Linked DNA regions of Tamandua tetradactyla. The protein of the gene in region 2 binds, or shares a complex with, the protein of the main gene of each other region. Links are inferred from orthologs where the notes say so. Each region holds a gene or a part of one and is shown on either strand. Other genes may lie near its edges.

Region 1 (16,714 bases), on a different chromosome or scaffold from region 2:
TGCATACATGGGATGAATCCTACTTGGTCATGGTGTATAAGTTCTTTAATGTGCTGCTGTATTCAATTTGCAAGAATTTTGTTGAGGATTTTTACATCTACATTCATTAGAGAGATTGCTCTGTAGTTTTCTGAAGGATAGTTTTGCTGGATATAGAATTCTTGGTTGGCAGCTTTTCTCTTTAGTAGTTTTAGTATATCATCCCATTGTCTTCTCGCCTCCATGGTTTCTGCTGAGAAATCTATACATAGTCTTATTGGGCTTCCCTCGGATGTGATGGATTGCTTTTTTCTTGCTGCTTTCAAGATTCTCTCTCTCTCTTTCACATATGTCATTCTGATTAGTAAGTGTCTTGGAGTACGTCTATTTGGATCAATTCTGTTTGGGGTATGCTGCACCTCTTGGATCTGTAAATTTAAGTCTTTCATAAGAGTTGGGAAATTTTCATTGATAATTTCCTCCATTTGTTTTTCTCCTTCTTTTCTCTTCTCTTCTCCTTCTGGGACACCCACAACACATATAATCATATACTTCATGTTGTCATTCAATTTCCTGAGTCCCTGCTTATATTTTTCCATTCTTTTCCCTATGTTTTCTTTTGCTCATTGGATTTCAGAGGTCCTGTCCTCCAGTTCACTAATCCTGGCTTCTGCCTCTTGAAATATGACATTGTAGGTTTCCATTGTTTTTTCATCTCTTCTACTGTGCCCTTCATTCCCAAAGGTTCTGGGATTTGTTTTTTAGACTTTTGAATTCTTCTTTTTGTTCATTCCTTGTCTTCTTTATATCTTCCCTAAATTCACTGATTTTGACTTTTGATGAGGTTTTCCATGTCTGTTCGAACATTCTGAATTAATTGTTTCAATTCCTGTATCTCATTTGTTCCATTGACTGGGCCATATCTTCAGTTTTCCTAGCATGATTCATTATTTTTTGCTGGTGTCTAGGCACTTAATTACCTTAATTAGTTTATTCTAGAGATTGCTTTCACTTTTTTTACCTAAGATTTTCTTGCTGGATGACTTTGTTGTCTATCTGTTCTTTGACATTCAGTTCAGCTTATTTTGGACCTCTAGCTTAGGTTTTGTTTAACAGATCAGAATTTTTCCGTTCTTGTTTTCTTGTTTCTTGCCCTGTTTTGTACAGTACCTTTTTCCCCCCTTAGGAGGGTCTACTTAGGTATTATAGACCCCAGCGAGATTCTCTCAGACCAAACTCGTGTCCTTTAGGAGGAAAGAGTCATCTACATCAGTATTCCCTGAGGGTGAGACCAAGCAGATTGAAAGGCTTTCCTATAAAGCCTCTGGGCTCTCTGTTTTTCCTATCCTGCCCAGTATGGGGCACTTGTCTGCCTGTAGGTCCCACCAGTATAAAGTAATGCTGTACCTTTATCTTCAGCAAACTCTCCCTGCTGGGGGCTTGGTTGAGATAGAGGAGAGGTTGCAGGCCAGCTCTAATTGCTTCACTTTTCCAGACCCTGGGTTCTGAAGTTTTGAGGGGGGGGGGGGGTGATTCCAAATGAGCTGGGCCCCATCCCTCTCCCATGGAAAGCACAGGCTCCAGACAAACACTCAAACAAGCTTAATTCTGCCTATGCCTGGGGCAATTGGAGCCTGAAGCCTTGCAGCTGTATCCAAAGGGTACTCAAGCCGTAGAAACACAGCCACAAAAAATAAAGAGAAAGATCCTTTTCAGAGCAGGACCTCATTCCTCATGTTTGCCAATCAAGAGATCATAATCTCTTGCCAAATCAAGAGATTATGTTGTTTTGTGTACCTTCAGGGCATATGTGCCCCCTCCTTTCCTTCAGGGCCAGACCCTTTCAAGTATTATGTGCTATCTGATCTCAAAAACCTCTGTTTCTTTTTTTCTTCTTTCTTTTTCCATCAGCCCTGCCCTCTCTGTGCCAGGGCAAAAACTGGCACCCTCTGCTTTGACTGGAGGTTCAGCTGAGCTGGGGGTCTATTTTTAGTAGTTAAAATTTTAAAATTAATCCCACAATTGGAGCTTGGTTGTGCTCAGCACCTGCTGCAGGTAAAGTCTCTTTCCTTTCCCCTCTGGGAAGCAGCCTGTAGGGGAAAGGCCCCAGCCTCCATGGCTTGGGGTCTCATGGTTCTGAGTGGGCTTGCAGCCAGCCCAGATGGTCCAGACTGGGGTACACTGTGTGTCTGGTCACTGTCATAGCCACAGCTGTTGTTCTGTACTGTTCCTGGCTTTTTCTATCTGCTCTGGAGGATGAACTAAATCCCACACCTCGCTAAGCCACCATCTTGGCCCTCTCTCCCCTTGTTTGTTGATCATTCCATTCTTGATATATAATCAATAACTCACAGTATCATCACATACTTGTATATTCATTATCATGATCATTTCTGAGGACATTTGCATCAATTCAGAAAAAGAAATAAAAAGAAAACACAAAAAATTTCATACATACCATACCCCTTACCCTTCCTTTTCATTGATCACTAGCATTTCAATCTACTAAATTTATTTCAATATTTGTTTCCTGTTCTAGTTTGCTAGCTGCCAGAATGCAATATACCACAAACAGAACAGCTTTTAAAAGGGGGATTTAATAAAGTTGCTAGTTTACAGTTCTAAAACTGAGAAAATGTCCCAATTAAAGCAAATCTATAGAAATGTCCAATGAAAGGCATCCAGGGAAAGATACCTTGGTTCAAGAAGGCCGATGAAGTTCAGGGTTTCTCTCTCAAGTGAGACGACAGATGGCAAACACGGTCAGGGTTTCTCTCTCAGCTAGAAGGACACATGGTGAACAGGCATCATCTGCTAGCTTCCTCTCCTGGCTTCCTGTTCATGAAGCTCCTTGAGAGGCATTTTCCTTCTGCATCTCCAAAGCACTGGCTGGTGGACTCTGCACTTCGTGGTGCTGCAGCATTCTCTGCTCTCTCTGAATGTCCTTGCTTTCTCTCTTGCCATTCTCTTTTACAGGATTACAGTAAAATAATCAAGACCCACCCAAATGGGTGGAGACATGTTTCCACCTAATCCAGTTTAAGAACCACTCTTGATTGAGTCACATCTCCAGGGAGATGACCTAATTACAGTTTCAAACATACAGACATACAGTACTGAATAGGGATTAGAAGAAATGGCTGCCTTTACAAAATGGGATTAGCTTTAAAACATGGGTTTCTAGGGTACATACATCCTTTCAAACCAGCACATTCCACTTATTATTTATTTTTAATCAATGTGTTTTATTAAGCTGTTGATAAGGTAGATAAAAGGAGTATCAGACACAAGGTGTTCACAATCACACTGTCTCTTTGTGAAAGCTTTATCATTATACAATCTTCTTCAAGAAACATGGCTACTAAACACAGGTCTACATTTTCAGGAAGTTCCTTATAGCCTCTTCATTACGCCTTAACTGAAAAGGTGATATCTATTTAATGCATAAGAATAACCTCCAGGATAACCTCTCAACTCTGTTTGGAATCTCTTAGCCATTGACACTTTATTTAGTCTCATTTCACTCTTCCCCCTTTTAGTTGAGAAGGTTTTCTTAATCCCTTGATATTGAGTCCCAGCTCATTCTAGGATTTCTGTTCCACGTTTCCAGGAAGGTCGACACCCCAGGAGTCAAGTCTCACATAGAGAGGGGGAGGGCAGTAAGCTTGCTTGTCATGTTGGCTGAGAGAGAGAGAGGCCATATCTGTGCAACAAAAGAGGTTCTATGGGGATGACTCTTAGGCCTGATTTTAAGTAGGCTTAGCCTATCCTTTGCAGGGTTAAGTTTTATATGAACAAACCCCAAGAGTGAGGGCTCAGCCTATTGCTTTGGTTGTCCCCACTGCTTGTGAGAATATCAAGAATTCTCCACTTGGGAGACTTGCGGGTCAAGATGGCGGCTTAACAACGTGCGCATTTTAGCTCGTCCTCCAGAACAACTACTAAATAACCAGAAACAGTACAGAACAACTCCTGGAGCCACGATAGTGACCGGACACACAGTGTACCCCAGTCTGGACCAGTTGGACTGGCTGCGAGCACCCCCCAGAACCGTGAGTTCCCAAAGCTGCGGCGGCCAGCACCCCTCCCCCACAGGCCACTTCCCAGAGGGGAAAGTAAAGGACTTTACCAGCAGCAGGGACTGGGCACAATCAAATGCCAATTGTGGAACTAATTAACAAATTCTGAATATTAAAGTTTAAAAATCCCTTACCTATTACAAGCTCCTGACATTATTAACATTTATGTTTTCTTCTAAAAGTTTTATAGTTTAGTCCATACGTTTAGGTCATTGATCAGTTTTTGCTGTTGTTTAAGTGAATCCACTGAAACTTTATATATAATTTCCAGTTTATTAGAAATATAGGAGATAAATAAGCATGATAAATGATAGAGCAGGGAAACAAATCCAGAAAATAGGATATTGAGGACAACAACATGGTCTCTTTAACAAGTCAGTGTTATGAAAACAAACACTAACAGCAAATAAACAACCACCACCAACAATAACAAAAGAGACTCAACAGCCAGAACTATGTTGAATCCTGGAATAGATATTGGTTTTGGCAAACCAGCTGTGAAGGACATTGATGAGTCTATTAGATAAATTTGTGATTATTAAATCAGAGGAAATGCAACTTGACTGAAAAAACAGATTGTAGAATAGTATGTACAGTAATGGCCTCATTTTTACAAAATATAAAAGTATACATGCGGTGGAGACATAGGGCCCAGGCTCCCTCCACCCCCAATCCCCTATCCAGACTGATAAGTTACTACACATTACCTACAATGACCAGAACAGAATATGTACATTTGTAAACTAATAACTGCCCATTGTAAAAGCCAACCCATTTCTAGTATACTACATTCAGGCAGCTTGAGCAAACAAATAGCATATCTTTTTCAAGTGCAATAAAAGTTACCCCAAATACAAATTTTCATGCTTTAGTTGATAGGTAAACTAATCAATGGCCTTGACATAACTTAAGTAATCTCAGCAGTGCTAAGACCTTCAGGCTAAAAATGGCTAAAACCCTTAAAAATTCCGTCTGTAATAGCAAAAAATCTTCCAACTATTCCCTTTCGCCAAACTGTATCAATTTTTGGAGGGGTGGGGGGACTTACAAGGTATTTTCATGTAACTCCCTTATAACCTAGGCAGGAAAACAAATACTTCAAAGTAATTGGAAGTCAAACTGCTCTCAGTTATCAAAACAATGAAATGACAAAACAAAACAGAAGCTCTAGGGTAATCCTTTGTTCATCCTAAGAGTGGGCCTGTATATTTAGGGCAGGTATGTATGAATATCACTGATTAAAAAATTTTAACTCATATTTGGCTTGTTCATATTTGTTCACTTGAATACTATATTTTATTTATTTATTTTTTGAATAATTTATTTTAAATTATAATCCAAGGTTCTTTTTTAACTTTTTCTTATTGTGGGATTTAACATATATACAAAAAAGCAATGAATTTCCAAATACATTTTTTTCTTTTTATTTTATTTTTTTAAATACCAAAAAAACATCAAACATTCCTTTTTTGATCATTCTGTTCTACATATATAATCAGTAATTCACAGTATCATCACATAGTTGCATATTCATCATCATGATCCAAATATATTTTAACAAGTAGTTATAGAACAGAGTTTAAAGTTTAGCATGGGTTACAGTTCCACAATTCTTTGTTTTTTCTTCTAGTTGCTCCAAGTCACTGAAAACCAAAATAAATATCAATGTAATGATTCAGTAGTCATACTCATTTGTTAAATCCTATTTGTGTTATACTCCTCCTAGTCTTTTTGTGAAAAATTACACATGCAAAAATGCAATTAGTTGTAGAACAGATTTCAGAGTTTTGTATGGACTACAACTCCACAATTTTAGGTTTTGACTTCTAGCTGCTCTAAGGTACTAGAGAATAAAAGAATTATCAGCAGTCCTATTCATTTGTTAAGCCCTAACTTCTCTGTATAACTCTACCACCACCTTTGATCTTTCTTTCACTCTTTAGGGACATTTGGCCTATGTCCATTCTAACTTTTTCATGTTGGAAGGGGCTATCATGATATGGAATAGGGGGATGGAACTAGTTGATGTTCTGGAGAGGCTGGTCCCTGCATTTTGGGACTTACTTGGTCCAGAGACCATCTGGATACTTCCCTTTTTTTTTTTTTTTCTAGGCTTTTGTTTTAATTTCCTAGGCTGCTCAAGAAAATACCATGAAATGGCTGGGTTTAAACAATAGGAAATTATTCACTCACAGTTTGAGGCTGGGAAAAAGTCCAAATCAAGGCATCATTGAGATGATGTTTTCTTTCTGAAGACTGTGGCATTCTAGGGCTGGCTGCTGGTGATCTTTGATCCTGTGTCACATGACAAGGGGCATGTTGGCCTCTCCTGGACTCTTTGTTCTTTTGGGGGTTCTGTTTAATTTTAACTTCTTGCTTATATAGATTTCTCTCAGACTGAATTTCACTCCACTTATAAAGGACTCTAGTAATAAGACTATTATTTAAGACCCATCCTATTGGGTTAGGACACACTCTGAAGTAATGTCATCATTAATCCACAGGAATGAATTAAATTTTAAGAACGTGCTTTCTTGGGCACCTGCAATTTCAAACACCATAGCTTTTTATATGGAGTTGTGCTGGTTTGAAAATGCACCCCCAAAAGGCCATGTCCTTTAATCCTGATTCAATATTATAGGGTGGAAATCTTTGATTAGATTGTTTCCATGGAAATTGACCCACTCATTTGTGGTATGACCTTTTGATTAGATTACTCCCTGGAGATATGACATGCCCAATTGTAAGTGTGGTCTTTTGATTCAAGGTGAGGTCTTGATTAGTTTACTGGAGTCCTTTAAAAGGGAAGACATTTTGGAGAAAACACCATTGTTTCAGAGCTGACAGAGATGCAGACATTTGGAAGATGTTGACAGAGAGAGGTGCCTAGACATAGATGTCTGGAGATGCAGAGCTCAGCAGACATTGCTATGAACCCAGAGTTGTGACCTGGAGGAACTAAATAAAGGCCCATAGACACTTAGAGAAGAAAGCACTGGAATCAGAATCTGGAAGCAAAGGAACTGGGAACAAGGACCACAGTCACCAGCCACATGCCTTTCCACATGGCAGACATCATCTTTCCTTGAGTCAAGGTATCTTTTTCTGGACACCTTAGTTTGGACATTTAATGCCCTTAAAACTGCAAATTTGTAACCTAATAAATGCCATTTTTAAAAGCCATTCCATTTCTGGTATATTGCATTCTGGCAACATTAACAAACTAAAAACGGGTACATGCAATTTCAACTACCACAGCTTTTTATAGTTTTGATTGTTACATTTAGGTCTTTGATCCAGTTTTAGTTGATTTTTGTATATAGGGTAAGGTTAGGGGTCCAGCTTCATTCTTTTGAATACGGATTTCCAGGTTTCCCAGTACCATCAGATGAAGAGACTATTCTTTCCCAGTTAAGCAGGCTTAGCACCCTTGTTAAAAATCAGTTGGCCATAGATGTGAATGTTTATTTCTGAACTCTCAATTTGATTCCATTGGTCTATTTGTACCATGCTCTTGTGATTACTGTTAACTGTGTAATAAGTTTTAAAACTAGGAAGTGTGAATCTTCCAACCAATAAGGGTGGTACACAAATATTGTTTTCCCTTCACAACACACTGTAGAGTTGAACATCCCTATCCCTCTGAATTTAAGCTTGGCCACATGACTTTCTCTGGTCAATGAAATGTGAGCAGAGTGGCTTGTGTCACATCCAAGCAGAAGCTCTACAATTATCTAATTCTCTGTTTTCCACTACCACAGGTCCCAATGCCTACATCCCATCTTTTGTTGACATTTAGAATGAATGAGAAAAAAAAAATCCTGTTTTTTGAAATCTTCAATTTAGGGGTTGCTACAGCAGAGCCTTGCCTTCCCTGAGCAGTACAACTAATGAAGAAAAGGAAGTACTGAATGTAAGGCACTCTGTGGAGAAGGTTTTTTTTTTAACCTCAAAAACCAATAATGAGGTATAATTTACATAAAATAGTTTATATGTACTGTGTAGATGAGGTTTTTTAAACTTTTTTATTGTATAATATATATACAAAACAAAGAAAGAAAAAAGCAATAGTTTTCAAAGCACTCTTTAATAAATAGTTACAGGACAGATCCCAGAGTTTGTCATGAGCTACCATACCATCATCTCAGATTTTTCCTTCTAGCTATTCCAGAACATTGGCTAGAAGAAATATATATTTTTTTATTATCACTTTTTTCTTTCTCTTTTGTAAAAATAACATACATACAAAAAAGCAATAAATGTCAAAGCACAGCACAAGAATTAATTATAGAACAGATTTCAGAGTCTGGTATGGGTTACAATTCCACAATTTTAGGTTTTTACTTCTAGCTGCTCTAAGATAATGGAGACTAAAAGAAATATAATGATTCAGCAATCATACTCCTTTATTAAACCCTACCTTCTCTGTGTAACTCCCCCATCACCTTTGATCTTTCTCCCACTTTTTAAGGATATTTGGCCTATGCTCATTCTAATTTTTTCACATTGGAAGGCTTGTCAATAATAAGGGGTAGGGAGATAGAATTAGCTGATGTTCTGGAAAGGCTGGCCTCTGTAGGTTTCAGGACTTATCTGCTCCAGGGACCCATTTGGACGTTGTAGGTTTTCAGAAAGTTATCCTAGGGCATGGAATTTTTGTAGAATCTTATATATTACCCTAGGTGTTCTTTAGGATTGGCTGGAATGGTTTTGGTTGGGGGTTGGCAAGTCATGATAGGTAGCAATGTCTAACTGAAATTTGCATAAGAGCAGCCTCTTGACAATTTTAACACTCTCAGCCATTGATACTTTGTTACACTTCTTTTCCCCCTTTTGGTCAGGATGGCATTGTTGATCCCATGGTGCCAGGGCAAGGCTCATCCCTGTGGGTCATCTCCCATGCTGCCAGGAAGATTTTCACCCATGAATGTCATGTCCCACATAGGGAGGAGGGCAATGATTTCACTTGCAGAGTTGGGCTTAGAAAGACTGAGGCCACATCTGAGCAACAAAAGAGGTCCTCCAGAAGTAACTCTTGGGCATGCCTATACATAGTCAAAGCTTCTTCACTACCTACATAAGCTTCAGAAGAGTAAGCCTGAAGATCAAGAGCTTGGCCTATTGATTTTAGTATCCCTAATCTTTGACACAGTATCAGGGATTTCCTCAGTAGTAAAGTTTAATAGTTTCATATTTTTTCCCATCCCTCAAGGGACTTCACCAATACTTTCTGATTATCTGCTTAATATATTCTGGGACATATCCAGGTATCACATTAAGCTATACCGGATTAAAGGACCTCATTTTATTCTGGGCTCCCTGTGTTTTGATTATTTAAATGAACTATCTAGACTGGGTTGAGTTAGATTATGTGCTACATAAAATTTAGGTTCTGGACAAAAACTTCTCTCCCTTTGGTCTCAAAGAGTAGGTGAAGTTCTAAAATATAGACAATAAATTTTAATAAATACTAATGGTTGTGTAGCCACTACCTTAATCAAGGCATCTCAGAGGCTTCCTCATGCCTCTTTTCAGTCAATCTTTACCGCCCACTCCAACTTCTCAATTCAACCCCAGGCACAACTACTCATTTACTTTCCGTTAGTACAGTGTTGGTTGTTCTATCATTTTATATAAATGGAATCATACTATATGTATCCATTCTTTACCGTTAGAGAAATTTTGAGATTATAAATTGGCATTATAAATTAGCCTACCTCTGCATTCATATAAAAAGTGAAGGTTGAATCCAGCCTAATTAGGGTAATTAATCTATACCTCCCTGAATTTTTTTTATTATAAAGACATACTAGATATAGTTTCCTGTGCTTTAGTATAATAGCCTTCATACCCAGCATAACAAAACTATTATTTTCTACTTATCTGAGAATTTTTCAAGACTTTAGCCCCCAGGAATTTTTCCTTTTTTTTTTTTTTTTTTTTTAACAGCGTAACCAGTGCCTAATATGTCTGGCATAGTATTGGTTCAGTAAATATTTGCGGAATAAATGGATGCATTTCCTGTGAATTGCTTCTATACAAATCTATATTAAATTACTGCAATCCTTTAATAGAAACTTAAGCACCATGTACTCCTAAAGGGTAAGTGCCCTATTCGTTTAAGATAGGGATGGTGTGTGGAATTTGAAGCTGAAGGAAGGCAGCAGCATTGCCGAGTACACGGTGTCTCTAAATCCTATTGTGTTGTTGTAAAACCATTACATAAGGACAAGCAAGGAAGAAAATTAAAATTCTGAAACAGGCTGTGCGAAGGTCTATGTTGGCACCCCTGTAGCCCCTGCAACAAGGGCCCTAGCCCGGGAATCCTGAGAACTGGCTCTAAAGCATGACTTCTCATAAACCCTCGTTCGCTCAGGACAGGCTTCTATCCCTAAAGCACTTACCCTTTAGGACTACTGCCCAGCGCTCCGCCTCCGAGCCGGGTCTCGGGCTTCCAGCTTCAGCCTGGAGGAAGAGGTACGAGATTGCGCAGACGCACCTCACCATCTCGCCCCTGCCGGTCCCGCCCAACCGCCGGCCGTCTAGTCCCGCGCAGTCTGCGTCCTACGCAAGCGCGCGTACGTCTACTGGCCCATCCCTCTCTTCACGGTTCTCGCGCTTCACCGGCGCGCACACGTCTCCAGGTGCCTCTGTTCCCAAGGCGTTGCTTCGCGTGCGTTGGAGTCGTCACCGCTGCCATCGGGGCCGGAAGTGACCGTGGCGTGTTCGCCGTCAATTTCTCGGCGTGCTCCAGTAGCGGTTGGGGGTGGCGGCAGTTGGAGTGGGCAGTGCGGGTTCCAGCGCGGGCGGTGGGGCCGGGTGCCTCCTTCGTCGACGGGAGCCCGGTTGGACCTGCCCCGACGGTTGGCGGTGGGCGGTGTAGTTCGGAGCCGCCTTACAGGTGAGTGCCGGGTCTCCGGACAGTCCTGAGGGCAGGCCGGGAGCGGAGGTGGGTACCGCCGCGCACTCTGTCGTCAACTGCGGCGCCCGCGCAGGGGCGCGGGTACTCGCTTTTGTTGCCGACACCTGTAGCTCAGGTGAGGCTCCTGTCTAAGGAATCTCGTCCATCCAGGACGAGATCCAGGGCGCTTTCGGGAATTCCTGCGGCTCCCACCTGTGGACCTGTGTCTGTAGAGGCGTCCCTGGCCGAGAGAACCTGTCATTATTCCCTCATTGTTTTGATTGGTCCTCGCTCGTATCCGTTCCCTTGAAAGTCTTGACACTGGAATTCAGCGTCCGTTCTTACATTTTGTGATATCTGTGCAATATTGTTGAGGGTGTTATTTAGTTCGTTCTAGAGCCGGTCTTCCTCAGGGAGGCTAATGACTTTTTGTTTAGAGTTGGGTACCTTTTACAAAACTTACACATCAAAATACTGTTTCATTCAGCATATTATATGGTGACGAAGTTAGGGATAAACATGGATCTTTATGTGCGTTCTAATGGATAATCTTAAACTCTATTTAATAAAAAAAATAGCTCCCTTATTTAACTGCGAAGTGCCACTTTTATAAATTACTAATTTCTTACAGCACCGTGATACACCCTTCTTATTGAAGAACTGTTTTATGTTTTCCTCTTTGAAATCAGTCTCTTAGTTACTCTTGAAACATTCTTGAAGAATGTGGGCCATGGACCTTTTCCACGCAGTCACGATGATAGAACGCTATGGAGTCAAGAAAGTTTCTCGTAGTGTTCATACTGCCCTAAATGTGTCAGAACGCAGTTCTGTTTCATTTTCCAGTGGATGTGGTTTTTGTAATCAGTGAGTCCGTACACAAAGAAATAGCGACAGAACTCTTTGTCTTGTATTAACAGTGCTATTTTGTGACACATACCGTGCCTTTAAAAAAAAAGACAGTGCCTATCTACTTTTCAGTATTCCTAGATTATGAAAAGCTATGTTAAACTTCTTTGTGGGGTTGGTTATTCAAGAAGCTTTTACAATTACAGAGTCAATACTAAGGCATTCTATGTAAGATAACGTCAAAGTCTGCATCTTTCTTTGAAAATTTTTTTCTATTCTGACATACTGAGGATTAGAGAATTTTTTTTCTTTATTTCAAAAATATGGAATGCTTCAGGAATTTGCGTGTCATCCTTGCTCAGGGGCCATGCTAATCTTCTCTGAATGGTTCCAATTTTAGTATATGTGCTGCCGAATCGAGGATTAGAGAATGTTGACTTGCTTTTTACAACAGTGTGTGCATTTATTGTTTTGTTTTGTTTTGTTTTAGCTTCTCAGCTGTTTAAAAAAAATAGCCTGTGAAACCAAAATGATCAGAGTTGATAAGGTGTTAAATAGATTTTGCTTGTGGCACTTATTGTTGTGACTTTTTTTTTTTTTTTTTTTTTTTTTTTTTTTTTAAAGGAAAGACAGAGAGAAGGAAGGAAGGATAGAAGGAAGGAAGGAAGGAAGAAAGGGAAACATTTTTAAACATTTTCTTGTTTTATTGTATTCTGTTTCTCCGTTTTTTGTTACATGGGCTGGGGCCGGGAATCGAACCGAGGTCCTCCGGCATAGCAGGCAAGCACTTTGCCCGCTGAGCCACCGCGGCCCGCCCTGTTGTGACTTTTAAATTACATTTTAAATTCTCCACTCATTGATTTATTTTTATTTTGTTCAAGGTAAACTGGAAATTATCAGTTGTCCTTCTTTTGCAGGAAAATTTATCAAATACATACATAGTAGACTTAATATGTAATTTTGTTTTCTGACCAGGTTTCCTTTTGATGCTTTTTTAGTAGTAATAATTTGCTCATGCTTGAGTAATTTATCATTTGATATAAAGGTAAGAAAAATGTGTGACGTTACAATGGGTCATGAGCCATTCATTTATTGTGCTTATTTAGTCATTAGATTGAATTTACATTACCTTATGGTTGCTTTCATATCCCAGAGATGAACATTCTGAAAATTTCTCACCAGCGAATTGCCTCTTTTAAAATTACACACTTGGTTTACTGAACCAAGTGCCTTCCCGAAGTGCCTTCGGGAAGATGCAAGATTGAGTTTAATGATATGTTTTTGTTTCAGGAAAACAGGTTTAAATATTTTAAAAACATTTCAAGCTTCCAACATTGATGTTATCTCTTCAGCCTGTGTTTAGTAATGTTCTCCTTTTTACTAAGCAAAAAAAAAGAACACCTAGAGTAAATAATCTCCCTTCCACTAACCTTCAAGATTTCAAGGTTTAATTCTTTCTTATTTATTTTTGTCTTAAGTGCAATTTCTTGCAACTCAGTTGGTGCTCCTTAAATATTTCTTGAATGAATGACGTATACACATTATGATAAAAACTGGTGGATAAGTGGAACTTGGCCTAAGATTCCATAGAAAATTAAGTGGGTATATTATCCTTTTTGGATATGAAATAGGGGAGGGCCTTACATTTGTTGTTTTAAGAGAGAATGTGAATCTTAGAACTTGAGTAGTTTGATCTGTTCTGTGTTCTTTTTCAGTCTCTTTAATCACTTATTCCCAGTCCTAGAGGAGAAAAAAGCATTTTAAGTCTCATTTTGGAGACCCACATGACATCACATATCACATTTGTTAGAAATTTTGCTGTAAAATTGAGTCCTTAGTACTTAATTATAGAAATTTGACTGCTACCTTAATTAAAATTGTTTTGCATCTTGTTTAGTTTAAATGAAAGTAGTAATTAGCTAAATCATAAATCCTCAAGGTATATAAGCAAAAAGGGTGGTTCTTATTGAATATGGTAAAGAACAGCTTGCTGTATGATAAAGTGGGCATAGTGTGTGGGTTTTTTCTCCCTAATTTTTGTAATCACTAATCTAAATTTTTGGAAATACAATTTTTTATGTGTACTATTAATGTTGAACCAATAGCTAATGTTTACAGTTCATGGTGGTTAAAATTTGGTTTATCAACTTTTCTTTAAACATGTTCATTTCTTCATATATTGGGAGGTATTGTGCTCGTTAGGCCCATTTTTGTCCTGTGGTGTAATTTTATGGATGTAAGGACATATTCTTATTCATAGGAGAATTGCATAAATTTACAGTGTTGATATTCATTTGAGAAGGATGTCTTGGGGTAGAGGCTACTAAAGGAATACGGAAAATTATTTTTGGCTAACATTTGGGAACTAAGGGTGCTTTGTGATTATTTTCAGGAGACACATTGTTACTTTTACAACCAGTAATTTTTCAGGTCAGTTGATTATATGGCCTTGGATTGACTTTACATTTTCATTTGTTAGAAAATGTCAATTGTCTAAGGATTTATCCAGCAAGAAAGAGAAATTCATAACATAGAACCTTTGAAGAAAACTTGAAGTGCCTTTGGGGCCATTGATCTGTGGCTTTCAAACAAAAAACCTGAGAACCATCTGTTTATCACAATTTAATTAAGTGGATTTTTTGTTTTTAAACGTGGGGAAAGGAGAGAAGTATATGGAGAGAGTCTCTTAAGCAAAGAGGAAGAGGGAGAAAAGACTTGAGAGGCCTAATATCCAAGCCCATCCAGATCAGCATCTGGCCCCATTTATATGCTTCGAATACTGTTTCTGAAACTAGGTGTCACTGTAGGGCATGATGACTTCAGGGCAGAACTAATTATGCAGGAGTGAAGCCATAATCCAGCTTTTTGGGAGATGAGTTGAGGATCAAGGAATGTGAGAATGCTGAGAGGAAATGGAGAAAGGTAAGAAGTCTTAGTTTAAGACAAAAACTTAAAAAGTATTTATTCACTCACAAATTTATTGAGTATCTGCTGTATGCGCAGCATGATTCTATGCCAAGCTGGGCTAGAACAGTGAATAATAGAAAGACATGGTCCCTGACCATGAAGTTTTTATTCTAATGGAGTATTTGTCATTGTCCAGGACTCCAGGGAGGCACTATGTAGCCTATGGGAATTTTTTCTTTTTGTTTTGGACCTCAGATGCCAGACTTGAGTTATTATGGAACTCAGTTAATATTATTGCTACTTACCAATTAGACCCAAATTTCATGGCTTAAACAACAAATATTTATTATCTCATAGTTTGTTGGGTCAGGAATCTGGGCAAGACTTGCTGGGTGTCTCTGACTCAGGGTCTCCCACAAGGCTGTAAGCAAGTGCTGTAGTTGTCTCAAGGCTCAACTGGGGAGGATCTGCTTCCAAGCTCACTCACATGGTTGTTGATAGGATTCAGTTCCTCATGGGCTTTTGGAGTGAATACCTCAGTTTCTCACTGGTTATTGGCCTGAGGCCTCCCTCAGTTCTGTGCCATGTGAGTCTTTGTGCAGAACAGCTCGCAACATGTTAGTTGGTCTTAGAGCATGCCAGCCAGAGAGGGTGAGCACAAATTAATCTTAGAAATGACAATTCATTATTTTTCATGTTTCAAATGTTAGATGCCCACATTCAAGATAAAAACCAGAAGTCGAGGCTCATTGAAAGACATCCTAGAAGCTCCTTGTCATTATCTATGGATATAAGGCCCTTCTCCTGTATTTTTTTTTTGTCACCATCCCTCCCAGTTTGCTTTCTTCACTCACTTTCCCCCATAGACACTCATATATTTAATATATGTTGTTGGGTACATAGCATCCTTAAAAAAGGAGTGTTTTATATAGCATATTCATTTTTAATTTATAAAATGATACTGAGATTTAGATCTTGTTCTAATATTTTTTACATCCAATCCTTTATTTTGATAATCTCTCCATGTTGCTATTTGTAAATTGTTCATTCCTTCCGTCCGCTACGTTGTATTCAATAGTATGCATCTACCATATTTTCTTGTCTATTCCCCTAGCAGGGAATATAGTTAAATTGCCTCCAACTCCTTGATTTTTCTAATAGTTTTGTCATTAGCATCCAAATATAAATTCCTTTATTAATCTGTGTGAGACTTTAGAATATTGACAGAAGAGTAGGATTGCTGAGTCATAGAGTATATGCATAATTTCCCTAAATACTGACAAATTGCACTCTTAACATGACTCTAACAGTTTGTACTCACAGATTCTATGTGAGGGTTTCCTTTTCTGCTCAGAACTTGACAATACTTATCATTAGACTTTTTTTTTTTAACCTGGTAAATGTAAAAAAGGGATCTCACTGCTTTGATTTAGATTAATAAATTCCCAGTGTCTATACTTGTTAGCTATTTGGGTTTTCCTTTCTTTGTGAATTGCACTTTATGCTTTACCTTTTTTTGTGTAAAAGTCCTGTTGTCCATTAGTGTGAGGAGTTACAAGGATGGGTTTTCTTATATTAATTCACCCTTGCATTCCTGAGATAAACTTGTCTTGATTTCGGTGTGTGTATATGTTTTTTCTCTTTGTCTGTGTTTGCATGTGGTTTTTCTTTTGATCCAGAAATTGAACCTGGGTCTCCGGCATGGCAGGTGAAAATTCTGCCACAGAGCCACTGTTGCACGGCCCATTTCCATATGTTTTTTTTTTTTTTATTAATTAACGGAAAAAAAGAAATTAACCCAACATTTAGAAATCATACCATTCTACATATGCAATCAGTAATTCTTAACATCATCACATAGCTGTATGATCATCGTTTCTTAGTACATTTGCATCGGTTTAGAAGAATTAGCAACACAACAGAAAAAGATATAGAATGTTAATATAGAGAAAAAAATAAAAGTAATAATAATAGTAAAAAAAAAAAACCTATAGCTCAGATG
Region 2 (15,967 bases):
TGTTGCAGTTTTCCATTGATTTTAATCACAGGGCATGGTAGTACTAAAAGACGCCCTAGGGGATCTCCTATATTCCAGAAAAACTCTTCTTTACCTCCATTGTGTAGCTGTAGTCCTATTTCCCCTGATAGTCAGGATCAATCACCCCAGTCAATAATGAAATCCCCGGTTCTAGTTTGCTAGCTGCCGGAATGCAATATACCAGAAATGGAATGGCTTTTAAAAAGGGGAATTTAATAAATTGTTAGTTTACAATTCTAAGGCTGAGAAAATGTCCCAGTTAAAACAAGTCTATAGAAATGTCCAATCTAAGGCATTCAGGGTAAGATACCTTGGTTCAAGAAGGCTGATGAAGTTCAGGGTCTCTCTCTCAAGAGAGAAGACACATGGCGAACAGAGCGAAGGCTTCTCTCTCATCTGGAAAGGCATGTGGCGAACACCACGTCATCTGCTAGCTTTCTCTCCTGGCTTCCTGTTTTGTGAAGCTCCCCAGGAGGTGTTTTAATTCTTCATCTCCAAAGGTCACTGCTCCCTGCTTCTTGTGGCTATGTTGTTCTTCTCTGCTCTCTCTGAATCTCTCATTCTCTAAAATGTTTCCTCTTTTATAGGACTTCAGAAACTAATCAAGACCCACCCAAACGGGTGGAGACACATTCCCCTCAATCCAGTTTAACCACCATGCTTGATTGGGTTCCATCTCCAAGGAGATGATCTAATTACATACAGTATTGAATGGGGATTATTCCACCTTTATGAAATGGGATCTTGATTAAAACATTGCTTTTTTAGGGGACATACATCCTTTCAAACTAGCACATCCCCTTCTTGGCTTGTTGATCCAGGGGCATGAGTACCCCAAAGTGACCAGGTGGCAGTCTTAGATTCCGTTCAATGGAATCATTGTTGTTTCTCCTGGTGGAAGCACTCCCCCTTTTGGAACTAAAACCTGTAGACTAGCAGAGCTCAGGATCACAGGAACAGGAAGCAAAACTTTTCCTAAAGGATCACTAGGGGTAATAGTGAGTGGTGCCACTCCCATTTCCACCCCTTGGATCCTGGACCCGTGGATCCTGGCTATGGGAGAAATAACACCATACAGCAGACGCTGATTGACAGCATATACAGCTTCCTGGAGAACATTACCCCAGCCCTTCAAGGTACTGCCACCTAGATGGAACTGTAATTGAATCTTCAAAAGGCCATTCCACCATTCTATCAATCTAGCTGCTTCTGGATGATGGGGAACATGATAAGACCAGAGAATTTCATGAGCATGTGCCCATTCCTGCACTTCATTTGCTGTTAAGTGTGGTCCCTGATCAGAAGCAAAGCTGTAAGGAATACTATGACGATGGATAAGGCATTCTGTAAGCTCACGGATGGTAGTTTTGGCAGAAGCATTGCGTGCAAGGAAAGTAAACCCATATCCAGAGTATGTGTCTATTCCAGTTAGAACGAATCATTGCCCCTTCCATGAAGGGAGCAATGTAATCAACCTGCCACCATGTAGCCGGCTGGTCACCTCGGGGAATGGTGCCATATCAGGGGCTGAGTGTGGTCTTTGCTGCTGTCAGATTGTACACTCAGTAGTGGCTGTAGCCAGCTCAGCCTTGGTGAACAAAAGTCCATGTTACTGAGCCCATGCATAACCTCCATCCCTACCACCATGACCACTTTGTTCATAAGCCCATTGGGCAATGACAGGAATTGCTGGGGAAAGAGGCTGACAGGTATCCACAGAACGGGTCATCATATCCACTTGATTATTAAATCTTCCTTTGCTGAAGTTACCCTCTAGTGCACATTCACATGGTACACAAATATCTTCATGTTTTTAGCCCACTCAGAAAGGTCTATCCACATACTTCTTCCCCAGACCTCTTTGTCACCAATTTTCCAATTATGGTCTTTCCAAGTCCCTGACCATCCAGCCAAACCATTAGCAACAGCCCATGAGTCAGAGAAATGCACCTCTGGCCAGTTTTCCTTCCAAGCAAAATGAACAACCAGGAGCACTGCTCGAAGTTCCGCCCAAAGGGAAGATTTTGCCTCACCACTGTCCTTCAAGAACACCACAGAAAGGGGGTAGAATGCTGCAGCTGTCCACTTTGGGTGGTACCTGTATATCATGCTGAACCATCTGTAAACCAGGCCCGAGTTTTCTCTTCCTCAGTCAATTCACTGTAAGGAACTCCCCAAGAGGCCATAGCTCTGGTCTGGGAAAGAGAAGATAATATGGCAGGAGTGGAGACCACGGGTGTTTGGGCCACTCCTTCGTGTAACTTACTTGTGCCTTCAAGACCTGCTCTGGCCCTATCTTGTATATACCATTTCCATTTTACAATAGAGTGCTCCTGCACACGCCATATGGCTTGGTGGGTCAGACAACACACAGCTCATGATAGGCAACTCAGGTATCGTAACTTGGTGGCCCATGGTTTTAGCATTCAGTCTCTACTAAGGCCCAATAGCAGGCCAAAAGCTGTTTCTCAAAAGGAGAGTAATTATCTGCAGCAGATGGTAAGGCTTTGCTCCAAAATCCTAAGGGTCTGCGTTGTGATTCCCCTATAGGGGCCTGCCAAAGGCTCCAGACAGCATCTCTATTTGCAACTGACACTTCCAGCACCATTGGATCTGCTGGATCATATGGTCCAAGTGGCAGAGCAGTTTGTACAACAGCTTGGAGCTGTTGCAGAGCCTCCTCTTGGTTCAGGTCCCCACTCAAAATTAGCAGCTTTTCTGGTCACTAGATAAATGGGCCAGAGTAGCACACCTAAATGAGGAATATGTTCTCTCCAAAATCCAAAGAGACCAACTAGGCATTGTGCCTCTTTTTTGATCGTAGGAGGGGTCAGATGCAGTGATTTATCCTTCACCTTAGAAGGGATATCTCGACATGCCCCACACCACTGGACATTTCCTCTTTTATAGGACTCCAGAAGCTTATCAAGACCCACTCCCAAGCTTATAAAAATCCATCTAACATTCCAAACTCTCTAAGCCTCTGGATCCCCTCATCTACGTTATACCAGGGCAGTCCTGGCACTTCAACCTCAGGTAATGTCAGCCACCTTTTGATCCAAGTTCAACCAACTATCCAAACAATTAATGCCTTTTCTAACCCCTTGTGCTGGTTTGAAAGGATGTATGTCCCTTAGAAAAGCCATGTTTTAATCTAAACCCCATTTCATAAAGGTAGAATAACCCCTATTCAATACTGTATGTTTGAAACTGTAATCAGATCATCTCCCTGGAGATGAGATTCAATCAAGAGTGTTTTTTAAACTGAATTAGCTGGAGGTATCTCTCCTCCATTTGGGTGGGTCTTGATAAGTTCCTGGAGTCCTATAAAAGAGGAAACATTTTGGAGAATGAGAGATTCAGAGAAGGCAAAGCAGAATAACATAGCCACAAGAAGCAGAGTCCACCAGCCAGTGACCTTTGGAGATGAAGAAGGAAAATGCCTCCCGGGGAGCTTCATGGAACAGGAAGCCAGAAGAAGCTAGCAGATGACACCATGTTCACCATGTGCCTTTCCAAACGAGAGAGACGCCCTGACTGTGTTCACCATGTGCCTTCTCACTTGAGAGAGAAACCCTGAACTTCATTGGCCTTCTTGAACCAAGTTATCTTTCCCTGCATGGATGCCTTTGATTGGACATTTCTATAGACTTGTTTTAACTGGGACATTTTCTCGGCCTTAGAACTATAAACTAGCAATTTATTAAATCCCCCCTTTTAAAAGCCATTTCATTTCTGGTATATTGCATTCCAGCAGCTAGCAACTTAGAACACCTAGAGATTTCACTGAGGTGGAAAGCCCCTGTATTTTTGTTGGATATATCTCCCATCCTCTGACATGCAAATGCCTTACCAATAAGTCTCAAGTAGTTGCTACTTCTTGCTCACTAGGTCCAATCAACGTGATATCATCAATATAATGGACCAGTGCGATGTCTTGTGGGAGGGAGAAATGATCAAGGTCCCTGTGGACAAGATTATGACATAGGGCTGGAGAGTTGATATACCCCTGAGGTAGGACAGTGAAAGTATATTGCTGACATTGACAGCTGAAAGCAAAGTGTTTCTGGTGGTCCTTACTAACAGCTATTGAGAAAAAAGCATTTGCCAGATCAGTAGCTGCATACTAGGTACCAGAGGATGTACTGATTTGCTCAAGCAATGATACCATATCGGGAACAGCAGCTGCAATTGGAGTTACCATCTGGTTGAGCTTACAATAATCCACTGTCATCCTCCAAGACCCATCTGTTTTTTGCACAGGCCAAATAGGAGAGTTGAATGGGGATGTGGTGAGAATCACCCCCCTGCATCCTTCAAATCCTTAAGAGTGGCAGTAATTTCTGCAATCCCTCCAGGAATCTGGTACTGCTTCTGATTTACTATTTTGTTAGGTAGGGGCAGTTATAGTGGCTTCCACTTGGCCCTTCCCACCACAATAACCCTCATTGCACGAGTTAGAGAGCCAATGTGGGGATTCTGCCAGTTGCTCAGAAGGTCTATTCCAATTATACATTCTGGAACTAGGGAAATAACTACAGAATGGGTCCGGGGGCCCACTGGACCCACTGTGAGATGGACTTGAGATAAAACTCCATCAATCACCTGGCCTCCATAAGCCCCCACTCTGACTGGTAGACCAGAGTGATGTTTTGGGTCCCCTGGAATTAATGTCACTTCTGAACCAGTGTTCTAACAATCCCCGAAATATCTGATCATTTCCTTTTCCCCAATGCACACCTACCCTGGTAAAAGGCCATCGGTCTCCTTGGGGAAGGTTTGGAGGAAGATTAACAGCATAAATTTGTGTCAGTGTAACAGGGTTCTCCCCCAAAGAAACCTGGCCTCCCCTTCATTCATGGGGCTCTGGGTCTGTAAACTGTCTCAAGTCTGGTAATTGCTTAAGGGGCTGTGACTCTGTGTTTTTGTAATTCAGGTTAGGCTTCTGTTCACTTGACCTAGAACTCTTTTATTTATACAGCTCAAACAAGAATTTAGTAGACTGACCATCTATTGCATTTCTAGGTACCCCATGATTTACTAGCCAATGGCACAGATCTATGTGAGTCAGATTATTTCGACTCCTGCTTTGAGTTTGCTGTCTATTATAATAGCCATGTCCACCTGTCTTTGGCGATTAAGTGCTGCCACCTGGCTTCTGCCAACTCGGGATCCAGTCATCCTCATTGTGTTTAAGGATTCCAGCTCAGTGACAGCAGTGTCCACAGTAATATCTGACCTACAGAGAAATGGTACTATTGAGCTCTTCAGAGATGATGGCACTAGTCTCACAAATTTATTTCTCACTGTTCTGGTAAAAGGTGCATCCTCCAGACATTTCTGGGGTGTACGAGCAGGCTTTGCATGATAAATTCACTCTAACATTCCAAACTGTCTAAGCCTCTGGATCCCCTCATCTACATTATACCAGGGCAGTCCTGGCACTTCAACCTCAGGTAATGTCAGCCACCTTTTGATCCATGTTCGACCAACTATCCAAACAAACTGTTAATGCCTTTTCTAACCCCTTGTGCTGGTTTGAAAGGATGTATGTCCCCTAGAAAAGCCATGTTTTAATCTAAATCCTATTCCATAAAGGCAGAATAATCCCTATACAGTACTGCATGTTTGACACTATAATCAGATGAAATGTGTTTTAATCAAGAGTGGTTGTTAAACTGGATTAGGTGATGACATGTCTCCACCCATCTGGGTGGGTCTTGATAAGCTTCTGGAGTCCTATAAAAGAGGAAACATTTTGGAGAATGAAAGAGATTCAGACAGCAGAGAATGCTGCAGCACCACGAAGCAGAGAGTCCACTAGCCAGCACTTTGGAGTTGAAGAAGGAAAATGTCTCCCAGGGAGCTTCACGAAACAGGAAGCCAGGAGAGAGAGCTAGCAGATGATGCCATGCTCACCATGTGCCCTTCCAGCTGAGAGAGAAACTGTTACTGTGTTCACCATGTGCCTTCTCACGTGAGAGAGAAACCTTGAACTTTATTGGCCTCCTTGAACCAATCTTTCCCTGAATGCCTTTGATTGGACATTTCTATAGACTTGTTTTAATCGGAACATTTTCTCAGCCTTAGAACTGTAAACTAGCAACTTATTAAATTCCCCTTTTAAGAAGGCATTCTATCCCTGGTATATTGCATTCCAGCAAACTAGAACACCCCTCTAGCTATAACACTGAAGGCAGAATCTCCACTTAGTGGGCCCATATCAATAAATTCAGCCTGATCCAGCCTTATATTCCTCCCACCATTATCCCACACCCTTAAAATCCATTGGACACATATTCCCCTGATTTCTGCCTATGCAAACTGGAAAACTTACACAGTTCTTTTGGAGTATAACGTACCTCCTCATGTGCGACACTTTGTACCTCACCTTTAGGGGCCTCTTGGGACTTTAGTCTAGTTACAGGTCTGGAAGAAATGAGGGTTGGTGAGGTGGGTCATGAAAAGAATTAGAAATATCTTCCAAGCCATTTGCTTCAGGGCATTCATTCGCCGTTTCATCTGATGAAACAGGATTAATCACTCTAGGGCTAATCCCTTCAGGTGGAGGCTGAGTGGCCAACTCCTCAAAACAAGCTGGAGGTGGGGCGGCCATGTCCTCAGGGAAGACTATTACAGGGTTATCTAGATAAGACTCAGCATAACCTAGGGTTTCTAACTCACCACTGACATGATTATCAATCCATATGTCGCCATCCCATTTTTCAGTGTCCCACTCCTTTCCAATCAATGCCCTCACTTTAATATCAGACACCATACAAGATTGAGATTTCAGTTTAGGTTGTAAAGCTGCTACTCTAACAATAAGATTCTGAGTCTGATTTTTAGAGATCTCAAGTCTACGCCTACAGGAAATAAGATTTTCCTTCAGGACACTCATAGAAACTTCTACATCTGTCAGATGGTGCTTAAGCTTCTCACTTGAAACCTTAAGCCCATCCCTTTCACTCCTTAATGTATCCAGTGTATCTAACAACAACTAGCCAACATCTCTATGCCTCCTATTTCTACAAAACTCCATAAAGGTGTCAAAATCATTATCCTCCAGAGCCTGGCTTTGTACAGCCGAAGCACCAGAAGAATCGTATGGTGATATTTTGACTATCTCTTTTGCCAATTCACTCCATGGATTGGCAGTGTCATTCTGATTATGGGACTCAGAGTTCTTAGTCCCTTTGAGTCCAGTCAGGGTAGAAAACCATTCATAAAAACCCATTTTTAAGGTTCTGTTTCTTAAGAACCATTCCTGGTACCAAGTTGTATTAGTTAGGGTTCTCTAGAGAAACAGAATCAACAGAAAATATTCGTAAATATAAAACTTATAAGTGTCTCACGTAACCGTGGGAACGTAGAGCCCAAAATCTGTAGGGAACGTAGAGTCCAAAATCTGACAATTCCGATGGAGGGTCTGGACAAACTCCACAAGAGAGGCTCACCAGCCAAAGCAGTAAGAAAGCCTGTCTCTTCTGAATCCTCCTTAAAAGGCTTCCAGTGATTAGATTAAGTATCACTCATGGCAGAAGACATTTCTCTTCGCTGATTACAAATGTAATCAACTGTGGATGCAGCTGATGTGGTCATGATTTAATTCTATGAAATGTCCTCACAGCAACAGACAGGCCAGCACTTGCCCAACCAGACAAACAGGTACCACCACTTGGCCACAAAGGCTAAAATATATTGGGTACATGGAAACACTAGTAGTCCCTGAGAGGGAAGGATAAGGAGCATGTAATGTATGAATTTTTTCCTCTTCCTGGAGTGATGCAAATCTTCTACAAAATGATCATGGTGATGAATATACTACTATGTAATGGTATTGTGAGCCACTGATTGTACATCATGTGTGGAACGTCTGTATAATTACGAATGTTTGTGTTGTATGTTGCTTATCAACAAAAAAAAATTTTTTAAAGGTTGAGGGGAAATGCAAGACAGACGGTTTTGATAGAACGTGATTCTGTTCATACAGTCCTCTTTTAATAGGAACCATTCTCGCTCCCAAGGTCTGAGTACAATGGGAGAGGTAGAACCAAAAATCTTTGGCAGAGACGGTGAAGTGCAATACGGTGGTTCAAACCCTGACGCCATTACATTTCGGTCAAGTGGCCTTTTATAAGGACCTTAACCTGGACCTGTTTGCCCATCTGAGAGTGCAAACAGGAATCCCTACTCCTTAGGGTTGTTGTGTGAGCGCAAACAGACCCTATCTGCAGCAACAGAAGGATTAACGCGGAGGTTCGAGGGTCTTAAGGCGCTGAGCCCCGGACGACTGGGCCACCCTCTCAACTCAGATGGGGCCAGCCACGCGACACAGGCTTGTGGGGCCAAGTTCCTCCTAAGCGCCCCGGATCCTTCTCGAACCCCGCCCCACCTAAGGAGTCACAAATGAAGTCGGCCTCTCTCGGATTCTAGTCTGTTGTCCTCTGAAGGGTGCAGCCACTTGCCCCTATCATCCCTTCCCCCGGCCCCGGCGGTGGCGGGGGCCGCACTTCGACCCTCCGCACCTGACTCGGACCCGGAATCAGACTCTGTCCCCATCCCGCTACCGGGGATTTATTCAAGCCGGAGTCCGGGTCAGAAAAGGGAAGGCAAAGCCCTCAGACTATGCAGATACCTCCTGAGGGCTCCAGGAAGAAACAGGCGCCAGGACAAAATGCTGACTAAGGCCAGGATCCCGTTTCGCCCCACTCCAAGATGGAAGGTCCGAGGCTTCACGCTACTCCCAAAGTCCCCTTCCCATTGGTTAGTTGGGAACTGGTTTTTCCAATAATGCGGACAATGATTGGTCAAACTATTTGGGTTTTGGCGCAGCCGCCATTGGAGGGCGTCTCGCAGAGCGTTCAAGGCAAATTAGGTTTGAAGCCGCGAAGGAAAGGGGGAGGGAAGAGAAAGCTTGCGGCGGAGGCGGGACCAAGGGAATGAGCTCCCACATTGGTTCATTAGAGGCAGAGGGGCGGCTCTTGAACGCTCCTTCCTCGTGATTAGTCCAATTCAGGGAAAGAAGGCGGGCATTTAGGAAAAGCGGCAGAAGCGCCTGCTTCGATTGGTCACACCTGCCGGGAGGTGGAGCGCGCGCGGCGGATGATTGGTGCAGGATGGGCGGAGGGCGGGGCTCTGGCCCGGAGGTTTTGTTGTGAGGGTCGGTTGTCAAGCAGCGGCCAATCAGGATAGGGGATGGAGGCAAGTGGGGGTCGCGCCTGGAGCAGTGCCTCATCTTCCCGAGCCGCAGCTGCAGGTGGAGTGAGCCAGCCGGCGAGCGGGCGAGGAGGCGAGGAGGCGAGGAGGCGAGGGGATGATGGGCCTGGGGCTGGGCCAAGCGAGGCGGGGCCGGGCCAGGCCGGACGGTGGCGGACGGGGGCCCGGGCGGTGGGAGGCTGGAGCCCATGCTCGGCAAGCTCAGAGGGGTAGGAGGATCAGGCGAGGCAGAGGGACCAGCCCCAGCCTAGGAAGTAGCGGGGCCGGCGTGCAGGCCGGAGGGAAAAGCCAGGGAGTCCGGAGGTAGAGCTGGGGTTCCGCAGGAAGATAGGTAATGAACGGGCACCAAAGAAGCAAGCGAGAGAATGAATGGGAAATGCTGATAGCAAAGGGGACAGAAAAATAAAGGAGCCCTGGCGAGGCAGGGGCCAAGTTAGGGGGCCCAGGAGACCACATGTACAGGAATGGGAGATACGGACAGCCGGGAAGGGAACGGAGGGCTAGGGAGGCGGTACTGGAGCCCCAGAAGCAAGCGGGTTGAGAGAGGCCTCGTGGGAAAGAGGTGAGGTGGCTGTGAGGGAGATGGTAGTAGGCCCCCAGACGTCCCCTTTTAAGAGTTGAGGAGTCTTTTTCAGGTTCAGTGCCTGGAGGTCTACCCCCACCCCGCGACCCCCAGCACTGTCCTTGGGAATTACAGGAAGTAGGCGTGATTCCCTTGCCATGAACTGGGAGGTTGGATCATCAGGGCTGTCTTCCAAGATCCTCCCTAGAAGGGGCCACAATGCCTGTCTCTGGGGTGCCTCTCATGGGCCCCTGCAAAGCTTAGCCTTGGACTCCACCCACTTTCCCAGACGTCAGGCAGAACCATGACTCCCAGAAATCTATCTAAACTGCAGGCATGTGGTCTTCCCTGCCCAGCTGAGGCTGCTACACTTCCGGCAGCCAGCATCCTAGAGCACAGCCACCTCCCATCATCCTGGCCTCGGGGAGGACCTTCTTTTTCCCCTGTGTTCCCAGTCACCCTGCCTGATGTGCAGATTCTCAAACCCAATTTGTGGTGCAGTTCCTGGCTCTAGTCGCTCTGCCCCTCTGCAATCCTGGGTTCACCCATACTGAGCTCCCACTGAGTGTTTCCTAACAAGCCACCTCCTCTGTTTGTATTCCAGCCCAGTGTTGAGCCAAGATGACTCAAGCCTGACATTCTGTGATCCAGGATCCAAACAAGTGCTCACAGGCTGCTGTTGTCATTGCTGTGTGTATGGCTTAAAACCACGAGGCATTGAGCCGGGAGCTGAGACATTCCCTCTGGATGTATGGGAATTCCCTGCCAACTTAATTCGCGGATCTGGGGGGGAGCTACCCCCACCCAATAAGAACAGCACGGTCTGTTTCACGGGTAGGGCTCCAGGTGCCAGGCACTGAAGGATGGCCACCCCTGTGGTCACCAAGACAGCCTGGAAGCTGCGTGAGTAGTTGTCTTTCTCCTTTCTCACCCCTTTGACCTTTATTGCCGGGTGGCTCAAACCTGCTGCATCATCTGCTCTTCTTGGCCCGGGGAAAGACCCTCAGGCCTTAGCATAAGTAGATCAGATGCAGATTGTGACTGGCTGATACTGGAAAAAGTGACTTAACCTTTTTGGGGCTCAGTTTCCTCACCTGTAAATGAGAGAATCAAACCTGCATTCTAGACTTGTTGTGAGGTTCAAGTGAGATAATAAGCATAAAGAACTAAGTGTGAGGACTAACCCTTAGAAGGTACTTCATTAGGATAGTTGCTTTTCTCAGGGACCCAAGGATTTCCAGTTAGGAAAAGTAGGAAGGGTTGAGAAATCCTGAACAATGTTCTTGGACATTTTTAGACATTTCCCAAGTCAAGGCAGCTTGGGGTGATTAGCCAAGAAGAGAATAGTGTGGTGGGCAGGGGGTTGCTGGCAGGGCTCTGGAATGTAACAGCCATGTCCACCCACCCCTAATATTCCGCTGTACCAGCAGTTCTCAAACTCCTTTATGCTCTTAAAAATTAATAAGGATCCCAAACAGCTTTTGTTTATGTGGGTTATATCTAGCAATGTTTACCATACTAGTGAGAAATTACCACTGAGGAATTGAAAATCACAATCACATGCCACTAGTGACAGAGACAACATTTATCATTTATCATGTGTGCTCTGGAAAACTTCACTGTGTAGGCTCATGAGGGAATGACAATACAAAAGGCAAATAACACCTTAGTAGTAGTATGAAAATAGTTTATCCTCATGAGCCTCTGAAAGGGGTTTGAGGACCCCAAAGGACCCACATCAGGCTTTGAGAGCTACTACTGTATACATTTGCACCTCTGTGGGCCCACCCATAATAACTGCCTAGCAGAGATTTGGAGTGCCCAACCTGACCACCCTCTCCAGGCCCAGCAAGCACTGGGTGATGCTGTGAGCTGTCTCTGGGCTGTTTTCAGGAGCATCACGTGAGCCCTGATATCCTTACAAAGCCTGAGAGCCTCCCCGTTATCTTACAGGGCAGGAAAGGAGAGTAGGACACAGGGAAAGGCTCTACCTTTTAACCACACACCTGAGCAAAGCTCTTTACTGGGCCTTAGTTTCCTCATTTGTAAAATGAGAGGTTTAGGTCATTTATAGATTGCTCCCCAAAGCTTAAGGATTTGGCGCAAATCTTGTTCTGGGCCTCGCAGGAGGGTACACTTTGGACAGATAGTTTTTTCACTTGTCAGGATTACGTATCTGACCCTTCAATCATCAGGGCTTCCCTAACACAGCCAGATACTGGGGAGCCAGTGGAAACAAGGCCTGTGTAGTGGGAGCCTGGAGCCTGGAGCATGGAGAGAGGGGCAGGGAGTCAAATAACCAGACACATCCATCTCATCTGATTCCAAGCTGGGACATGTGCTTTGAGTCAGTTAACAAGATGGACAAGTGGTGTCAGCTGCCTGAACAGTATGTGTAAAGGCCCTGAGGCAGGAAGCTCAGTGCCTTGGAAAGGCCAGAAGGAGTACAGCCATGGGGGTTGGGGGACATGGTGCCATATGAGGCTGGCGAGGTCTGCAAGGGCACACATCCACGGGGCCCAGCCTTTCTGAGGCTTTTGCTTTCTCTTAAAGCAAAGTCAAAGCATACATGTTTAAATATGGTCAAACATATTGGACATCTGCTGAAATTTTATTTGCATAGCAGTTTTCATGGGTATAAACTTTCTGAAGAGCCCAAGGGCAAATGACCTCTGACTCAGTGTCTCTGCGGTCTGCTAAGGATAAGAGAGTGCTTGGCCAGTGTGGGCTCATTGAAGCATTGAATTCAATTTGGATTGCAGGGCCTCATTATCTCTGGCCAAAACACAGTGCTCCTCAGCTGTGGCTGAGATGTGGGACCTAGACTATGTCACCTGGATTTGGGAAATGTGTGGGCCTATACCACTGTGTGAAGCAATGGCCGTCAACCTGGGCCACTAATAGACCCTGTGGGGATTTTATTTGTTTGTATTAAAATTCAGTGTGGGGCCTGGGCCACCGCTGGTTGCTGTTCTTCAGACCAGGCTAGTGTCCTGTGTTAGGGCCTCCTCTCCCTGGCATCTGTGGTGTGCCCGCAGGTCCTTCCATGGGCATCAAATCAGTCGCTGGTTAGGCTGCTTAGAGGGTAGTGGTCTGGGCCGTTTGAGAAAGACTCAACCTCCAAATTCTTCGTACCTTAAAATCTGTGGTTCTGTGAACTGGGTGCCCTGTCCCAGGAGCCATCTGATAACCTGTGTCATGAAAGCAGGGACCTTTGCTCTCTCATTCCCACTGTCTCCCAATGCTAGGCCCATAGGAGGCACCCAGGAATGTTTATATTATCAACTAATGGCTGTCTCCTGGGCAGTGGTCCTGTGGTCCAGAGAGGGGCAGCATTATGCCCAAGGAGGTCCAGCGAGAAAAAGTCCCAGGCAGGAATTTCCCTGGAAAGAGTGAGAGCCAGGGTGGACATACTCAGGCCTCTAGGTCAGTCATGGAGGAACGGTATTGTGTAGGTGAGTGGCTTCCGAGAAGGGGAAAGGCTTGAGGCGTGGTAGCAGGGAACTCAGTGAGAAGGCGGTTTGCCCTCTCTCTGAATTAGGTGGCCACTTTGGCCCTGCAGAAACTTTTAAGAAGACAAAAGGCTCTGTGGGTCACAGTAGAGACTGTACAAGGGAATCAGCTCCCTTGGACCAAATGGCAGGGTCTCTGAAACCTGGCTGACCTATGGCTGGGGCTTGGTGCTGCCCGTGGCCAGATCTGGGTTGCTAGGCCCTGAGGTGGGGTGTCATCTGTGATGTCAGATCTGGGGCCTGGTTCCCCAGGCATTTTCCATAGCCTCCAAGCCAGGCTGCCTAGCAAGCAGCTGTCCCAGGTCGAGTTTCTCAACCTCCTTGCAGTCTGAAGCAGGGGGTAGTACGGAGCTGGGATGCCAGAAAGGCCCTGGGAGGAACAGCTGCCACACCTTCCCCTCACTGTTACACCAGCCAGCCTCCCAGCTACCCCTGGGTGTCAGCACATTGGGGCTTTCCCCTATGTGGAGAGACCTGATTTGTCTTCCTTGTTCCCAGTAAAAATTCCCTCTGGGGATGGGTGGGCCACGGTGGCTCAGCAGGCAAGAATGCTTGCCTGCCATGCTAGAGGACCCGGGTTCGATTCTCGGTGCCTGCCCATGTGAAAAAAAAAAAAAGAAGATTCCCTCTGGGCCTGGCTGGCCCGCCTTGCCCATGCCTTGTTCCCTTCAGAGCCTTGGTGAGGTCCTGAGATTTCAGGCTGTCCCCCCTTTCCCCAGGCCATGCCAGGGCCCCTTGTGGTTTCCCCCAAGGCCTCATCTTCTGCTCGGCCTGGTCAGTTCTCACCCTCAGACCTCTTTGTCTGTTGCCTCCTGCCCTCCTGCTCATGCAGCCTAACCCCCTGTGCCTGCCAGGGGCCCAGTGCCTATTAGCCCTCTTGGTGACAAGTCCTCAGCTTGTCTGTGACTATGGAGTACCTTCTCTTGTGCACATTCTTAGTGAATCCACAGCAATCTGGGGAGATAGGCACTGTTACTGTCCCCATTTAACAGAGGAGGACACTGGCACACACAGGATGAGTGATTCATCCAAGCTCACACGAGCATCAAGTGTGAACTTGCCTGGTCACAGCTTGTCTACCACTGAGTTGAATGATGCTTAAAGTCTCTTTCCCAGAGCAAGATTCAAAAGCCAATGAATGGCATCTGAGAGGCTTAGGTCAGTATTTTTTAATGTTTTTTTTTTCAGCTTTCTTTTTGTGTGGTAGAAAAAGTATAATGAACACATCAAACTTGTAACTTCACAGATACTGTTACTTAAGACAAAGCTAAGCAAAAATAGCAAGTCAATTAAAAAATTAGTAAGTCACTAATATTATAGTTGATGGACACAAAAAGGAAAAAAGCATGAGGTCTAAGTTATGTCAGGAAGGACTGAAGTTAAGAAACAGAAATTTCCAACTTAGGCCCAAGATCTGCCCTGTCAGCGCGTCCCCCAGCAACTGAGGAGGGGTTGAATGGGATGAAGAGGGGCAGGTACCTCCTGCTGGCGGAACCCAGCAAGGTGCTGCCACTCCTCTGCATGGTCCCCCGAGGCCCCTGACTGTGCCCCCCTCTCCCTTTGGTATGCAGAGGAGATCGTCGCCCATGCCAGCAATGTGTCTTCACTGGTGCTGGGCAAAGCCTCCGGGCGGCTGCTGGCTACAGGCGGGGATGATTGCCGGGTCAACCTGTGGTCCATCAACAAGCCCAACTGCATCATGGTGAGCCTCAGCTGGTGGGGTGTGGGGCAGGAAGTTCGGGGACCAGGGCTGGGGAGCAGGTGGCTTTGCAGGCTCTGTTACGCCCAGGATGTCCCAACCCTGGGCCCAGCCAGGAATTAGGGAGGACATAGCACAGCATCAGTGCCTCAGTCAGCTGTCTGCTCAAGGAGGACAACCCAGGATGGCTAGGAATGGGGAGTCACCCAGAAGTGGGACAGAACCCCAGGAAATCTGCCTGAGAAGGTTAGGATAAGCCCACAGTCCATAGTGGAGGAGCCACAAGAGTGAAGCCCTCCCCTGCTCCCCTGCCCACCTGTCCCCATCAGCTGTACATGGGCATTTAGACTATCGATGCATTTCCTCACCTCATTTCACAAAAAGGATTTGAGGGACTGGTTAAAGAGCTCATTCTTTGATAGCATCTCCTCCTTCATTTCACAAGTAAGATGTATTCAGTGCCACAAAACAAACCTGGAAAACAGAAAAGCATAATGGAAGCAAAACAAAAATTCATTGCATATAGTTCCATTATCTAAAGACCACCAGAGTTGGTGTTTTGGTGTGCATTCTTCTGGATGCTGATGCCTGTCTACTCACCTGTGCATGCAACTTATATCCACGCACACACAGGTAAATATATAAAAGTATATCCCCAGAACACTCTCTTACATTCTCGTGGCCTCATTTGTTTTTAAATAATGCTATGAACATTTTCTTGTGTCAACAAATACTCTGTTCCAATGTGATGTTTAATGGCTTTGTGGTATCCCATTGTCGGGATGAGCCCTAACTGGCTTAGCCACGCCCTGCTGTCACGTGGAAATTGTTTCCAGTTTTTTGGTTCTGCTGGACCATATTTGCTAACAACGTCCTCTACCTACATCTCTAAGCAGATCTATGATCATTGGCCTTAAATCTGAGGGTGTGTACTTTTCCAAAGGCTTTCAAAAC

The links.
Region 1: the proteins of KATNB1 (region 2) and KATNA1 are in contact, whole or in part, in a crystal structure (PDB 5OW5), measured with the Mus musculus proteins. The link is inferred for Tamandua tetradactyla from reciprocal best matches to the Homo sapiens genes KATNB1 and KATNA1. Residues at the interface, in NP_083081.2 of Mus musculus: Leu485, Val486, Asp487, Glu488, Ala490, Met491, Gln493, Ile494, Arg495, Gly497, His498, Met501, Phe502, Val504, Leu505, Thr506, Arg508, His509, Leu512, Asp513, Val515, Arg516, Trp519, Thr521, Asp542, Leu543, Ile546, Gln549, Lys550, Leu553; in NP_035965.2 of Mus musculus: Leu5, Gln6, Ile8, Val9, Val12, Arg16, Ala19, Leu20, Leu21, Gly22, Tyr24, Tyr31, Tyr41, Leu50, Lys53, Trp54, Gln56, Val57, Glu60, Ile61, Val63, Glu64, Gln67, Val68, Asp70, Ile71, Thr74, Leu75, Ser77, Phe78.

The regions. Positions count from the first base shown.
Region 1 is NC_135328.1:141,152,248-141,168,961, reverse strand, and holds the start of KATNA1 (katanin p60 ATPase-containing subunit A1), read left to right. Parts: upstream 1-10,644; 5' UTR 10,645-10,959; intron 10,960-10,963; exon of another isoform or gene 10,964-11,007; intron 11,008-11,070; exon of another isoform or gene 11,071-11,095; intron 11,096-12,122; exon of another isoform or gene 12,123-12,229; intron 12,230-16,714. UniProt on the Homo sapiens protein: Catalytic subunit of a complex which severs microtubules in an ATP-dependent manner. Microtubule severing may promote rapid reorganization of cellular microtubule arrays and the release of microtubules from the centrosome following nucleation.
Region 2 is NC_135342.1:51,443,220-51,459,186, forward strand, and holds the start of KATNB1 (katanin p80 WD40 repeat-containing subunit B1), read left to right. Parts: upstream 1-8,475; 5' UTR 8,476-8,746; intron 8,747-8,865; exon of another isoform or gene 8,866-8,899; intron 8,900-9,141; exon of another isoform or gene 9,142-9,329; intron 9,330-9,426; exon of another isoform or gene 9,427-9,449; intron 9,450-10,406; 5' UTR 10,407-10,665; coding exon 10,666-10,705; intron 10,706-14,885; coding exon 14,886-15,016; intron 15,017-15,967.